Linked DNA regions of Anolis sagrei. The protein of the gene in region 2 interacts with the protein of the main gene of each other region in a biochemical or structural test. Links are inferred from orthologs where the notes say so. Each region holds a gene or a part of one and is shown on either strand. Other genes may lie near its edges.

Region 1 (7,942 bases), on a different chromosome or scaffold from region 2:
AGATAGTAAAGAATGGGCAAACTTCGGTCCTCTAGGTGTTTTGGACTTCAACTCCCAGCATTCCTAACAGCCTCAGGCCCCTTCCTAAGGGCCTAAGGCTGTTAGGAATGCTGGGAGTTGAAGTCCAAAACACCTGGAGGACCGAAGTTTGCCCATGCCTGATTCATAACCTCTTGTTTCATGGAATAATCCCTCCCAGTTCTCCAAGCCTTGTCTTCTCCAAGCTAAACACAGCCAGCTCCCTCAGCAGTTCCTGGTAGGGCTTGGCTTCCCAACATTAGCCCTGTCAATACCTTTCTTGGACTGAGGTGCCCAGAACTAGACACAGCCTGATCCCAGCTGAGGTCTGACCCAAGCAGAAAGGAGTGGGACTCTGACTTCCTTGGGGATGGAGCACCTCACAGAAAGTGATGGAAGCAGCAGTGGAAGTGCCTCCCCTCCTCGGGGGAACTCCCTCCCTCCCTCCCTCCCTCCCTCCCTCAGGAAAGCCCCTCCGCGGCCTCCTCCTCCTCCTCCTCACCGTGTAGTTCTCCACCAGCTCGGAGCCGAGGACGCGGGCGACTTTGGGGGGTTCCTCGCCTTCCTCGCCGGCCCCCATCACCTCCATGGCGACCACCACAGCTGGGAAGAGGAGGAAAGGCCGCTTGGAAGGGGAGGTGGTGTGGGAAGCTCTCACTCGGCCGCTCTTGTTGTTGTTGTTGTTGTTGTGGCGGCCCTTGCGCCGCCTCCCTCAGCAGTGGCCTCTGCCAGCTCAGCCAGGGCTGTCACCGCCGCCATCTTTGATTCCCCCCTCCCCCTCACGCCCAGTAGAGTCGCTGAGAGAAAGGACAAGCCCCGCCCTCGGTCGCTAACACTCCTTTTCTGCGCTTGCGCAGAAGGAGGAGGAAACGCGAAAACCTCGGCCTCGAGGGGGCGGGGCTGAGCTTTGGAGGCGGGGCTAAACGAACACAGGATGGGCCATACCATCGGAATTGGGAAGGGGTATTTTTTTATTATTACTTATGGGTCGTGACCGCCCATTCTTATGCAGGGCTCGCTTAACGTTTACGGCGAACCCCCCTCTCAACAGATGGAAGCGGCACCTGGAAAATAAACAATGTGGAGAGGGAGCTTTTGGAAAATCTTGCTCCGCCCACAGCAAGTCCTTGAGTGACAAAGGCTGCTCCTACTTCACTGTAGAATTGACGCAGTTTGAGACCACTTTCATAGAATCATAGAATCAAAGAGTTGGAAGAGACCTCATGGGCCATCCAGTCCAACCCCCTGCCAAGAAGCAGGAATATTGCATTCAAAGTACCCCTGACAGATGGCCATCTAGCCTCTGTTTAAAAACCTCCAAAGATGGAGCCTCCACCACACGCCAGGGCAGAGAGTTCCACTGCTGAACAGCTCTCACAGTCAGGAAGTTCTTCCTCATGTTCAGATGGAATCTCCTTTCTTGTAGTTTGAAGCCATTGTTCCATTGTGTCCTAGTCTCCAAGGAAGCAGAAAACAAGCTTGCTTCCTCCTACCTGTGGCTTCCTCTCACATATTTATACATGGCTATCATATCTCCTCTCAGCCTTCTCTTATTTAGGGTAAACATGCCCAGCTCCTTAAGCCACTCCTCATAGGGCATGTTCTCCAGACGCTTGATCATTTTAGTCGCCGTCCTCTGGACACATTCCAGCTTGTCATTAACTGCCATGGCTCAATCCTAGGGAATCCTGGGGGTGGGAATTGATCTTGAGAACAACAAAACATCACTCAGAAGACAAGGGAAACAGGGCCAGTTAACTCCTCCCAACAAAGGATTCCCCCAGGCAGGAGGCAGCTAGGCTTTGAAGCTGCAAGGCCATTTGAAAGGAGTGCAAAGAAAGGCTTAGTACATTTAACTCAAATTTGTTATTTATTTATTTATTTATTGTGTCATCAGCAACCAGACATTTGTATTACATTTTTTAACAAAAACAAACAAACAGACAAAACACAGAATTAGCAAGGTTTGGTATTTGATTAAATGTCCTTTGACCAGCAGCTGGTCACTTGGAGTGCCTCTGGTGTTGCCGCAAGGAAGTCCTCCATTGTGCATTGGGGGACATGAGAGAAGCCTCCTCGCAGGATTGCAAGACATCCGGGTGTCCCCTGGGCAATGTCTTCGTAGACGGCTGATTCTCTCGCTCCAGAAGCGACTTGCAACATACTTGAATTTGTTAAAGGCAGAATAAACTTCAAATCGCTGCCATCATTGAAAGTACTATGCTACCTTCGTGACCGTACGTCGTTCCAAGTACCAACCCGGGCCCTTCGTTCCTCAGGGGAGGTCCTCCTTTCGCCTCTACCAATCTCACAAGCTCGTCTTGTGGGCACAAGGGAGAGAGCCTTCTCTTCTGTGGCCCCCTGACTTTGGAACTCTTTACCTGGGGAGATCAGGAAAGCCCCTTCACCGGAAACATTTAAAAAGAACCTCAAAACCTGGCTTTTGCACTGTGCCTTTGGCGAATAGGTGCACAGCATTATATTTTACACCTCAACGTTTTTGGCTAATGGAGTTTGTGACCTCCAAATAGGATGTTCTGTCCCACAGCTCTGTGTTTTATGAGTTCCATTTAAATGTCCTGCTCCTATTTTATCTCATCATAGTTGGTTAATGGTTTGTTATTTGGAAAATGTGACCTGTCCATTGTCATCTCTATCGTGATTGTGTCTATTGGACTGTTTATTATTATTATTATTAATGTCATTTTGATAATGTTGTTGTTGTCTGTTGTATATGCTTTGGTTTTATTGCTGTATTATGTTGTCTGGGCTTGGCCCCATGTAAGCCGCTCCGAGTCCCCATCGGGGAGATGGTGGCGGGGTAGAAATAAAGATTATTATTATTATTATTATTATTATTATTATTATGCTGTTTGCCAGAACATTAACTTTTGATTCTTGCATATAATGTTTTGTTTTCTCAGGGAAGAAGCTCCTGCTGTTGTTATCCAGGATTTTTTTTCAAGTCAGGAGCAACTTGAGAAACTGCAAGTTGCTTCTGGTGTGAGCGAACTGGCCATCTGCAAGGACATTGCCCAGGGGACACCCAGATGTTTCTCCCATGTCCCCACATGAGGGGCTGGAGCTGACAGACAGGAGCACTCCACGCTGCCTGGATTTGAACCTCTAACCTTTTGGTCAGTAGTCCTGTCGGCACAAGGGTTTAACTCATTGTTCCACTGGGGGCTCTGTTATCCAGGAGAAAACAGGGCTAATATATTTCCTCCAGTATTTCAACTCTCCTATACATCTTTGGTATAATATTTAAGCTATATAGGTTATTGTACAGCACAGTAGCAACTATCTCTAGCACCAATCTACTACCACTATCCAGACCATTCTGTGATCCTTTTTTTGTTAGTGTATGAATATCAGAATGCATTTAAAATGGATTATCCTACCCAAAAAGTAAGAAAATCCGCAATGTAGCCCCTGAAGGGATATTTATTTTATTTTAGGTGCAGAATGTATCATACGAGTTCTCTATATCACATTAGTGCAAATGCAAGGTGAGGAAAAACCTATTTGGAGCAGAAAGAGAGTTAACATTTTAAAAATGATTTATTATTGGTCTTAAGTTAGTCCTCCCTGTTTGAAGAAAAGAGAAGAATTGCTCAATATAAATAAACAAGGGAAAAAATTCACAATGAATGCTGGCAAGAAAATTTTTGCAGTTCTAAAAAATGGGGTAATTTCCCCAATATCTGGCATGTACAAGGCTAATTTTAAATACACATACATATTTGACACATAAATACCTGACTTCATTATAATTTGGCCAGCTTTCCTAAGTTGCTTGCAACTCAGTTGGACAGAGGAGGGAGCTCTGATCAATGGAGAGAGATAAATCCTGTTTTGTGATATGGAACATACTTTCAGTAGGAATGCTTCTGCCTGAATGATGCAAAAGTGTAGGTCAGTGCAGTTGTTTTGTCCAGGTTAGAACATCAACCGCATCACAATGATGCTTGTAGGAAAAAAGATAGTAAGAATAAGTTCAGAAATTTATACAATCCAATGTGAAGACATCATTTCAAGACGTATTTTTGGAAACATTTCCAGGCTTGTGCTCATCTCCCTGAAGAATTAGATGTTACAATGAGTTGATGAATACGTCAAGCAAACTGCTAAAAGCAGCCTGAGGAATATCTATTGAATGGGGGATTCTGCCTCTCAGGGCCCTTTCACATAAATATATTAACCCAGAATATCAAGGCAGAAAATCCCACAATATCTGCTTTGAACTGGGTTATCTGAGTTCACACTACCATATATTCCAGTTCAAAGCAGATAATCTGGGATTTTATTCAGCTGTGTGGAGGGTCCTTGGCTACTACATGGTTTGAAGCATAGGCCCATGTTCCTGCCGTAAGGGTCTGTGGTTCTCATGCAGAATCTTGGAAAGTGTTTCTTAAAAAGGACGGTTCCTTCAGTAGGATCTTTTTATATTCCCGGTGGTCAAAAATTAGTTGTGCATTCTTCACCATCTGCCCTGGTTTTGCTATGACTTGGTCATGTGGATGGATGATGGGAACAACAGAACTCAGGCAGCAGAGGTGGACCATGAGATCATGTATCATCTGAATCCTGGAATAAGCATCAATGAAGGATCAGGTTTTCCTTCAGTTCTGTGTCTACTGAAGTGAAAACAGAGCTATCAGTGGAATTGGGAACTGGCTTTAGAAATGTCAGCTGTAACAAACTTCACATACCTCCCCTGAAGACAGGGTGAAAAGTCATGCCTGGAATGGATAGCATGGCCTTTTGTGGGTGTCTCTAAGCTGTGCGGAGCAGTGATCAGCCCTTCTTGATGGACACATTTAGGGCTGACAGCCTGCTATATAAGCAGAGCTTCTAAGGAGAGAAAGCTGGCAGAGACTGGGAATTTGTCTCTGTACAGTTTGCCATCTAAGCCCAGCTCCTGAGTCTTCCTGACCAACAATAAATAATTATGGATGATATTTATAAAGCAGCTGTAAGTAAGATTTTCATATGTAATAATACATTGGGACTTATCTCTAGCTAAGCATGTTTAGGACTGCATTTTGCCTCCTGACAAGAGAACAGGGTGATAATGTTCAGTCTGATGTCACAAATATTATGCAGTGATGATCACGTATTATGTGGTTAAATGTAGTAACAGAACTTTTGACAAGTGTTTTATTTGGTGCAGAGGTTTCTTATACAGCATAGCATATAAATGGGTTGCATGATTACTTTAATCAAATCTACTGTCTCAAGTTTTTTAAAGTTCAGGTTTGTTCTATAGCCCAATCCTGTACAAGGACAGATGTGCTGGAGCTTATTATTTTGAAGGGCTTAAGCCTGCTTTAATTCTGCATAGGATTTAGCTTTTAAATGTACTATATTGCATGTGAATTATTGCAGCCATTACATTAAATATTTGACAGCACATCATCTGGGGAGCTGGGGGAGCTCCTGTTTGTCAGCTCCCGCTTCTCATGCGGGGACATGAGGGAAGCCTACCATAGGATGCTAACACATCCGGGTGTCCCCTGAGCAACGTCCTTGCAGGTGGCCAATTCTCTCACACCAGAAGTGACTTGCAGTTCCCAAGTTGCTCCTGACACGGAAAAAAAAACTTTGTAAAAAGCCAATTATAATTTAATGTGTTATAAAGTCACATTTGAAGTATATGTATACTCAAAGGGAAAGGACTTTAAATCCTAATTGCTAGAAGTTGAAATATAAACCAAACTGAGTCTAGTTTTAAAAGTAGGTAAGGAGTCACTAGAGAAATGTATGGAAGTAATTAAAAAAAAAACCCTCATTTCATTGTGAATGGAAGAACAATCCAAGCTATTTTTAGAGACTAATCGAGTTTGGGTTCTTCGGTGGTTAATCCTGTTATTGAGAAACCTTAGTAAAACAGATTGAAGAAGAATGATTCCTGCATATCAGAGTGAGGGATAAGCTCCCAGAGTGGATTTTAACATCTGGTATGGCTTGTAAATAATCCACCAAAGCAAAGTTGTATTTGGGCTATGGACACACAGTAGTTTAAATAGTGGAAGATTACATTTCAAGGAATATCTGAGATAACACATTTAAACTCACAAATTGCCTGATATTGATTTACATACATTGAGATCCCATAGTGGGGGTGGGTTAGGGGGTAGATAGTAGAGTGAGGTTAGAATCCATATCTCCTCCCTGCATCAGTGGCCCAATCCACAATAGGCTATTAGTTGCTGACTTGCAAATAGAAATATGATGGTCCTGGCTGTCTGAAAAACCATGCTGGAGTCTCGTCTACACTGCCCTATAATGCAGTTTGAAATTGTATTATATGATCAGTGTGGACTCATATAATGCAATTTTCCCATATTTTATAGATTTTTTTTAAAAAAAAACTTACAATGCAATTGTGTTTTATCACAATCTGTCTAAATGTGTTTGCATGTACGAAAGGTTTTTCAAAAGTTGCTTCTCTTCTTTCTTTATGTCTTCACTACTTTTTATTATTATTCACTGCTCTCAAATTGCACCCCAGGCTACTACCATGCCCATGGCTTTTTCCAGCCCTGCGCCCCCTCCCCCTTTATAGGAAAAAATCACCCACTGGAGGAATCACTGCTCTAGAGCGCACCATTATACTTTGTAAATTATTTTACTGTATGTTTATTCCATATTTTCCCTAAGGAGTTGAGGGTACTTCATTTAACCCTCAAAGGTCTTTGTCACATAGGTTTAGTCCCCTTTCTCACAGCTGTATAAAATCCATATTGAACTAGATTATATGGCAATGTGGACTCAGATAACACAGTTCAAAGCAGATATTGTCGATTATCTGCTTTGGTATTCTGGGTTATATGACTGTGTGAAAGGGCTCTCAGCTGACTGGCTTAGCATGCCAAAGGTCACCTAAAAAAGAGGTTTATGGCTAAAGGACGATTTCAAACCAGATTTCTCCTTTCCAAGTCAATGTTGTTAGTTGGGTTGCTGTGAGCTTTCTGGTCTGTATGGCCATGTTCCAGAAGCATTCTCTTCTGGCATTTTGCCCACATCTATGACAGGCATCCTCAGAGGTTGTGAGGTCTGTTGGAAATAGGCAAGAAACACTCAGGGTGAGCTAACACCTCCCAATAAAGGATTCCCCCAGGCAGGATGCAGCCAGATTTTGAAGCTGCAAGGTCATTCAGTGCTAATTAATGTTGCCAACTGCAACATTCTGCCTGAAACAGACAAGAGTTCCTTCTCCCACCCTGGACATTCCACAGATATATAAATCTCATTTGTCCTAGTTTCCAACAGACCTCACAACCTCTGGAGATGCCTACCACAGATGTGGGTGAAATGTCAGGAGAAAATGCTTCTGGAACATGGCCATATAGCCTGGAAAACTCAAAGCAATTCAGCGTTTCCGGCCATGAAAGCCTTCGACAACACAATGTTGTTAGTGTTTTCACATAATTTCTGACTTATGTTGATCCAACCATAGAGTTTTCATGTCAGAATTTATATTCAGAGGAGGTTTGCCTTTGCCTTCTTCTAAGGCTGAGAGGGTATGACTTGCCCTTCATGGCTGAGCTGAGATTTTAACCCTGGTCTCCAGCATCATAGTCCAACACTTCAGTCATTATACCACGCTAGATCCCAGACTTGTCAATGCCTCTGACACCTTACCCACAAAAGAAAGAACATTATGTTATGCATGACTTTTATTGCAGAGTTGATTGCACATTTAAATGTGTAATGAATAATATACCCAATCATTTCTAAATACAACCATTCATTTGGACCAGAGGAATCCAGTTGATTTCTCACCTTGCCCACTGACATCTTATACACAGAGCTAAGTTTAGAACAGTGTCCAGATGCTAGTACGGAGAACATGGCCAGGGATGTGTGTCTAGATAAAAGTCTCCAGGGATAAATACCCATGTCAATCATGTTGGGGGAA
Region 2 (8,735 bases):
TGACAATTTGGTATTTTTCAGGTATTTAAAATTAGACCTATAATAAGACCGCCTATATTCATGGAGAATACATTTACAGCCTGACCAAAGTTATATTAGACTACAGTTAAAATTAAGCACCATTAAATTGCTTCACTTCCAGCATTGTGTTGGTGGGCCGAGAGATTCTTACAGGGTATATTTTCTAGGAATTTGCTAGCTTCTCCATCACAACTCTGTGGTAATTTTAGAACCAGAGGATCTCTAAAATTACCAGACCTAAAGGACCTAAAGTGTATAAACATACCATTTTCCACCAGGCACAGATAAGTGAAAGTCTGGATATGGGTTCTGTGAGTTACAGGAGTCTTACTGTATTTAAAAGGTGAATCCCTACCTCTGGGGGCTTCTAAGAAAAGTTAATCACCTTCATTTATGCCAGAAAAAGATGGTTTGAGAAGTGTGGTTAATCACCCATACTTTGGGTGATTTCACTACTGTCTCCACTCTATAACGTATCATCCTCACCATCATCACCAGTGGTACTATATTATAACCAGCTTTTTCCACAATTCAGGACACAAGGTAGCTTATAAAAGTTAAAAGAAATAACAGCTAAATAAATGAACACCATGATAACACTTTAAAATATAATTAAACCATAAATAGAAATTCATGTGGTTAAAAGCATGACCATTACAAAAAGACAAATATAGACAACGCAGAACATTATGAAAGGCCCTTCTCTTCTAAGCAATTAGATATCAAAGGCTGTTGAAACAAAAGGCTAATTTTCTCAAGAAAGGGAATTCTAAAGCCTGGGAGTAAACACTGAGAAGGCTCTCCTTGTTCACATTTTCAAAGCTACACATTTTAAGCTGTATGATTTACTGGAATGTAATTTTCGAAGAAAATGAATGTTTTATCTCAGTAGCAGGAAAATGAAAGGTACATGCACACTTTAAAAAAAATAAACTCAGATTGTAAACTGGATAAATTCGTTCAAACATTTTGTTTTGTCTTCTTCTTACCTCCCGTGTGTTGTGGTTGCATTTTGCTTCAATGTCGTATCTCTCTTCATCCACAATGTCCACCTTCTCATGAAGCTCCCTGCATAGGTCCTAGATAATTTAAACAAAAAACTGGACAGTGGGTATCTTCTATAGGCCATTCTTTTTCTAGATTGCTGCCAGTCAAAAATGCCATTTGTTTTCCTTTCTCTGGGGAAAAATATGGAGAAACTATCTACTGATTAAATTGGGGTGGAGCAAAACTGTCTACATTAGAAGTGATGTAAATGTGCTCTACTACAATAAGTGCATTGACAAAGTGCTCTCATATCTTGGAGTTTGTGATGTGTTCTCATGCTTCAAACGTTTACTTGACAGATTAATAAATCAGCAATAGAAAGATAACCTCTAGCTCTTACATTAGCAATAGCCAATATTTATATTTTAACAAGTCAGTGTGTACTTCTTGGAGCCCAAGTGCTTTTCTTGCCAAGCAATCACCAGTCTCCATGCAAAAATATAACTTAATACCTAGGGGCGATGAACAAACAACAATGGTGCACAGCCGCCAAGGGATGCAATATGGAATGAAGAAGGTAGAAGAAGAGGAGCTCTGAGAAGGTGGAAGAGCAGCACTAGGGGAGGACCAAAATCAGGAGCTCTAGCTAACAGACCATCCATGCTGCAGAGTTGTAGCAGTTTGACACCAGTTTAACTGCCATGATTCCATCCTATAGTATTCTGGGATTTGTAGTTTGTAGATCTCTCTGACAGAGAAAGATAAATATCTCACAATACGAAAAACCTCAGAATTCCATAGTATTGAGCCATTAGTTAGTGTGGTGCCAAGCTGCTATATTTTGCAGTGTGGATATAGCAAGGGAGGAAAGAGACTGGAAGCAGTGTGGGTGCCAAGATCATGGAGTGAGTCACTTCCCTACCCTGTCTAATGTAGCTACACCCCTGCTCTATGAGAGATCAGGATCCATCATCAAGCTGACTTAATCAAACAATAAAGGCTTCCATATGAAACTGTCATACAATTAATAGATACATGGGCACTGGACAGCATTTACCTATTAGATACAGTTACATAGACATTAGAAAAGAGAAGAATAATATTTAATTATAGAATCATTGAATCTTTGTGTTAGAGAAGTCTTAGAAGGATCACTAGCTAGTGTAGTTGTCCAGCCACTTTTTGAAGATATCCAGAGAAGGAGATTCCACAAACTAGATCAGTGGTTCTCAACCTGTGGGTCCCCAGGTGTTTTGGCCTACAACTTCCAGAAATCCCAGCCAGTTTACCAGCTGTTAGGATTTCTGGGAGTTGAAAGCCAAAACATCTGGGGACCCACTAAATTAGATAATGGGTTGCATTGCTAAACCACTCCCATTGTCTAATAAGTTACTTCAAATGTTGGATCAAAATCTACTCTTTCTGTGACTTAAAACCCCTTTGGGGCAGCAGAAAATGCATGTTCCTTTCTCTTTGTGAACTTGAATACCTTGATACATCCAGAGACTTCTGTGTCTCACCAGCTTTCTGGATGAGCCCAAAGTGGCTATGTGGAAAAGTCTTTAATGAAGTGAATGTGCTGTAGTTTAAAAATATTATATTTCTTTATTGATGTTTTAATATGATAGTTTATTTGAGTATTTGTTAAACATTTTTGTCATTCATTTTTAAACTATGAACTTTGCTTTGCATTCATATTATGAGCCATCCAAGGTACCAGTTGGAGGAAATATATAAATTAAATTAAATTAAATTAAAACAAATATTAGTGAAGTGTTGAACCCACTCTGGGTTTTATTCAGACCTTAAAAATTCAAGTAGACTCATTCTACTTGAATTTCAAGTGGACTCATTGATGTGTCCATCAGCCACCATTTCCTCTAAACTCTAATTCAGCAAATAGCTTCACAAATATGAGGCTTACTAGACTTCTTGCCTGTCTCTTGAAAGACAAAAGAAACAGGGCTTATTGGAGATCTGAACTAAATCTCTTGCTTTAGTTCTTTAGGACTTCTATGATGTTCTGGAAGTCTTATGAAACTGATATTGTCTTCCCAAAACCAAAACTCTACCTGGAGCTGGGCAAATGAAAGTCCGCTAGTTCTCAAAGGAGTGATCCTCTCAGCCAAGTATCTCTCCTTCTCTCCTTGTTTATCTACTTGCTCTTGTTCCCATTCTTCTTTGGCTTTAGCCAGCATCAAACTCTGGAAAAAAGAGGCCAAAACATTTATAAACAGCCTTTCTGGCAGCTCATTTTAACAATGTCAAATGGTAGCTGGTTTATTGGAACTGCTTTGGCAAAGCAAGAAGTCTGAATTGCCTCACCTTTAGAAGGAGTTTGCGTGAGGCTGTGATCTTGGATTTCCTCTAAGAAGCAAAAATAAATATAGAATGCACGTTAGACACAAAGCTCTTACAAATTTCATAGCCACACTGAAATCACTTTTAAGAAAAAAGAATATAGGAACTGCTCTTACCTCTCTTTAGATGTTGGTTTGGAAGAAATAATAAAAATAGGAGAAAATGAAATAAACAGAATGAATACGCAAAATACAGTTCTCTGTAAAAGTGGAATTAAATTGATCTACTGTGAAAGAGTGATCATACCACACCCATATTCCACATTGGTCTTAATATTGCATATGTAATTATCTTTCTTAATCTCACTACTTGGTCCTGTGGTTTGCTGGGTATTTATGAAGCCCATCAGTAAAATGTAGTACCCCATAACAACCAGTCATTGGTAGATAATATGACCTGTAAACCCCATTATTAACATCAGCCATTATTTCTCCTGGTTAAAGTAGATTGATGGTGCTCATCACCACATGCCTCAAACATGACTGAAAATTCACGGAATATCCTGGTGTTTTGCTTTCTCAAAAATGATACTGCTCCTCTGCATGCTTTTCTTTTTAATTTTATTACCCTGCTGGTCTCAAGCTCAAAAATTCACTTTCAACCTCAGAGTTATGTAGATATTAGGATATTCCTATCATAGTAGTAACCTCTAGTGTTTCACTCCAGTATCAGTAGCTGTCAGCAGAGAACAATATAAACACTATTGATGTGTAATGGTCAGCTGTGACCTACCATTGCAACAACCCACAATGCTGTGGGGGCAGCATCTCTTTGGAATATATTGGCTATTTTTTTCTAACTGCCCTCTACTGCAATTTGGTAAATTAGGATTCAGGAGTGTTAGCAGGAGTGGGTAAGCATTGAAAGGGCATAAACACAGAATTCTGTCACTTCCTAATGCAAAATCCATTCTGCTCCATGTAATTGACAGAAATGCGAAGGAGGTGTTTAGATGCTGTAGCCAATAACAACTGAGAGAAATAACATCGGTGGGAAGACACTATATGTACTTGAATGTTGTTCAAAATTTCCCTACAATTCTGCTAATTTTCAACCTAAAACTTCACAAAAGGGTCAGCTCAAGACATTTCCCTGCCTGTGGGTACTGGCTATTTTAGGGGCACCTTGCAAGCCCTGTGATGTGCAGCATTTTTCTCCTTTTTGCTGCCACCCACTAGCATCTGCTGCCTGAGATGAATCAATCTGCCTAAAGGTAGGACTGGCCCTGCCATCACACATTCTCAGGAGGATTTCAATAACATGGAAGCATAATTCATATTTTGAATGATGGAACTCAGAGTAGAATGTTGACCTTAATTTTCACAGTTAATCTCAAACCCCAGGAATTATGTATTATGGGCTTCATGATCCTACATCTCCAGGTGGGATCACAGGTGAGTTGTTGATGCTTGAGATGCCAGTATTACAACAATGTTGGTTATGGACTCTCTGTCTTCTATCCAGGGGAGTGCATGGAGAAAAAGCTATTTACTTTTACAAACTCCCATGGTAAAAAATGTAAGAACTGTGTTTTTACAGAGTTAAGAAAAGTTACTGATGAATAAAAAACCTTTGGTGATTTTTTTGTTAGATATAATTTAATTGAGAGGTCATGTTATTATTTAATTATTGGTTGTATGCTATAATTTGGTCTTAGAATATTGGTTTATTTTGGGATTTGGCTGGTTTGTTATTGTATGTGTATCTATGGTTGTATCAAGACATTAATGTTTGCCTTTTTTGTTTGTTGGAATTTGCCCTGAGTCCCCTTGGGGAGATAGTGCAGAATATAAAGTTGTTGTTGTTGTTGTTCATTTGCATTGCCCTCCCTGACTTGGCTGGGCAATTTAGGTAGTTGTAGTTCAGAAAGTCACTCTGCTTGAAATCATAGGTTCCACTCTGCCATCTCGTGGTTGATTTGTGGAACAGATTTATGACTAAAGCTGAAACTATTTTGTTCTCAAAATTTTCTCCTAATCATTTTCATTTGTGAATATTTGTGAACTCTCAAAGCTCAGAACATCTACTATTTCAGACAACTACTCCCAAAATCCCCAGTTAGCGTGTCAAGGGGATAGTAGCTTTTTTTGGCAATGGCCTCTGAGCATAGTCTGTGGTGAAACAGAGAGAATAGGCAATGATTAATGTTGAAGAAACATCTTTCTAAAATTCTATGTAGACCTGGTGGTGCTGGATGGAGGATGCTAAGTATTGCAGATTTTTAAAAAAAATCAAGCCATGAGAAACCTGTGATTCTCCAGAGGTTGGTTGGTTGAAGTACAATTCCAACCAGACCTTACCATTGGACAGGCTAGCTGAAATTAATCTGTACAGCTTTCCCACTCCTGTGACCCAAGGCCAGGGGCAGAAATACAGTAAGCCCTTCACATTCACTTGGGCTAATGACGCAGAAAGCATAAAAAAAATTACTATTTTTATGGGAAAGAACACTTGTCTGGGAATCTCTAGATCAATGGTTCCCAACCTTTATTTGACCAGTGACCACTTGACCAGGGACCACTTTGACCAGAGACCACTCTCCAACATTAGTACCAAAAGGGTTACAAATCAGTTTTTAGTCAACTTTAGATTCAGTTTGTTATTTGGGGTGCTGATTCAGAAAATTGCATTGGCTAGACCACATCAGTTCTAGTTTCTGATACAGAACATATGCCATCAAGTAGTCACCATCTGCTCATCCACAGAAAATGATTGTATAACTAATGTTTGTTTTAATCTATTGTATGATTTTATTTTGCTATTATAATTGTAATTATTGCGGCATCAAATTGTGCCATTGTTAGCTGCTCTGAGTCCCCCTGCGGGGGTGGGAAGAGCAGGGTAGAAATGTTGTAAATAAATAAATAAATAATCATCTAGAGCCACGGAATTTATTTTAGGCCCACAGGCTGGGAACCACTGCTCTAGATCATCCAGCACACCACTATGATCAACTTCTCCAGAATTCTTTTGGCAGACATTGGTCACAGAGTCACACTGGAGGAGCTCGAGATTCTTAGGGAGAACATTTCATCAAATCTGATTACCCAAATCCACAAAAGTCAAACTAGCAAATGTGGAAAGCCAACTGTAATGTGGATCCCCTAATACATTGCTGGATTATAATTTCCAATATTCTTCACATTGAGTGGCTGTCTGAGCTGCCAAGCTCTGGAGGACTGCATGATCCCCCTTTCTAAACAAGGGGGAAGGAAAGGAAGAAAATGCAAATATAGGACTGCTAATTTCAGCAGCACCCCTGTGACAGGTATAACAACTAGCTCTGCTAGATGACACGCATGAGATCCCTATGATAAAATTCAGATGTTTACTCTAAAATTCATGCTGACCAAACTTGTAGGACATGAACCCCCCCCCCCCCCAAAAAAAAAAAAAACCAAACAAAGAATAATGCAAGGGAAAAAATCTGTTACTTACGGTTCAGGCATCGTGGCAAGAAATTGTGTGCCTATAAATAGGGGGGGGGGGAAGCAAAGACCTTTAAATGTTTTTTTTAAAAAGATGCAAATCATGAAGTTGAACATTCCAGATTTAGAAAAGGCAGAACTGGAATAATCATTACTCTTCACCCAGTACATTTCTCAAAAACAAATGTTGGCAGCCCTCCTACTTCAATAATGATAATAACAAATAACAAATATGTTACTCATGATACTTAAAATTATTATGACAGTGAACATCTGTGATAATTGTATCTCTCCTCTAAGCCTATGGGAATATATTTCTAATTAAAACCAAATAAATAAATTATCAATTGTGCTTTAAATTGGATGCTTTGCATTTAGTATCCGAAACCCTGATTATTCTGTATCAGCCCATGAAAGCTTCATCTAGATTCTTAAGATTTTTATAAGTTTATCTTAGAGGCAGCTTCCATGTGCATCCATTCTGTGTTTTAATTAAACATTTAAAGAAATTTTCTAAGATGCTAAACTTAATCTTCCTCCCCCCAGAAAGATTCACCACCTTGCAAAGCTCATTGGAAATACAGGCACTCCCCCAAATTACTAACAAGATAGGTTCTGTAGGTTTGTTCTTAAGATGAATTTGTATGCAAGTCAGAACAGGTACATTTTAAAGTGTACCTCCAGCCAATTTTTTAGATAGATAGATAGACAGACAGACAGACAGACAGACAGACAGACACTGGATAGCATAGGGAAGGTTTAACACCCCTATAATGTTTGTTTTGCTATCTGTGCCCCTGTTCAGAAGATTCCACTTCTCTTTCGGTTCCTGTGACAGTTGGATTTTGAAATGTTTGGCTTATTTGTTATAGAAACAAGGATCGATAAGAAAGCCTCCATGGAAACACCTTTTCTCCATGATAACTCTTTCAGGGGTGAATTTCCCGTCCTAAAGATAGATTTCCTTTCACTTCCTGGTATCTTGCCCCCGTTTATAGTTAGGAGACATATGTAAGTAGGATGTTGGTAACTCGAGAACTGCCTATACTAAAGTGAGTATACCAACTGTGTGAGGGCTCTTTCAGGAGTGAATTTCCCTTTCTAGGGGCAGATATCTCTCACTTCCTGTTGTTTCACCCAATACTTATCTATGATGTTTATGACACAGCGACTGCTTGTATGGACTAAATCCCCAAGCAGATTTGCTGATTCACTGACAATGAAGCCACCACAGCTACAGCCATTGTCTGTGTACTGCTAAACGCAGTGAGGCTGATTTCCTAATGAACACCCATTATATTGGATTGTCTGTTCTGTTGCAAATAGCTTTGCATCTGTCTACCCTGATTTCTCTGATGCCCTTGGTTTTGGATTTCATTGCCTGTGAGTTTTGCAATTTCATGGCTCATATAATATTACACTTCTATGAGTATATAACTTTGGATTTGTCTTTTAAATAGCACTCGGCCTTATTGTTATACAAGTTCAGCTATGCTCTAGAAAGACAGAAAAATTATAAGTGTTCCATATATGATAGAGAGACATGATAATATGTTCTGGCTCTTTTCAAACATTTATGATGCTGTATCAAGTTGAAGCATTCAATTACATGGCAGACAAGTAGAAGGAACAGGTACATGAATACAGACACAAGATCCAGATGGAGCATTACTCACGCTCTCTCTCACTGTCAAACCATTTCTCTCTCTAAATACTACTAGCCTAAAAAGGATGTTCGCCACAAGAAGCATGTAACGAAACAAAAATGTAAACAATTGGGTGAATATCAATATATATCCATGCTTCAGCTACTTTTCCACATGGATTTAGCCACATCCCAAATGCACATTGCTTACAACTGCTTTTGGAGCCTCCATTTTCACATTCAAGTTCTTTTCTTTTCATTGATACATTTGGATCAAGATAAATAGTAAAAAA

What was found.
Region 1: the proteins of TNNI1 (region 2) and TNNC1 are reported together in a solved structure, tested with the Homo sapiens proteins (2 studies listed by BioGRID, with this or other methods). The link is inferred for Anolis sagrei from reciprocal best matches to the Homo sapiens genes TNNI1 and TNNC1.

What each region holds. Positions count from the first base shown.
Region 1 is NC_090022.1:68,380,770-68,388,711, forward strand, and holds the start of TNNC1 (troponin C, slow skeletal and cardiac muscles), read left to right. Parts: upstream 1-4,824; 5' UTR 4,825-4,969; coding exon 4,970-4,993; intron 4,994-7,942. Other genes in the region: NISCH (nischarin), read right to left, coding at 521-607. UniProt on the Homo sapiens protein: Troponin is the central regulatory protein of striated muscle contraction. Tn consists of three components: Tn-I which is the inhibitor of actomyosin ATPase, Tn-T which contains the binding site for tropomyosin and Tn-C.
Region 2 is NC_090024.1:204,278,029-204,286,763, forward strand, and holds the start of TNNI1 (troponin I, slow skeletal muscle), read right to left. Parts: upstream 3,508-8,735; 5' UTR 3,486-3,507; intron 3,376-3,485; 5' UTR 3,334-3,375; intron 3,213-3,333; 5' UTR 3,207-3,212; coding exon 3,081-3,206; intron 1,101-3,080; coding exon 1,011-1,100; intron 1-1,010. UniProt on the Homo sapiens protein: Troponin I is the inhibitory subunit of troponin, the thin filament regulatory complex which confers calcium-sensitivity to striated muscle actomyosin ATPase activity.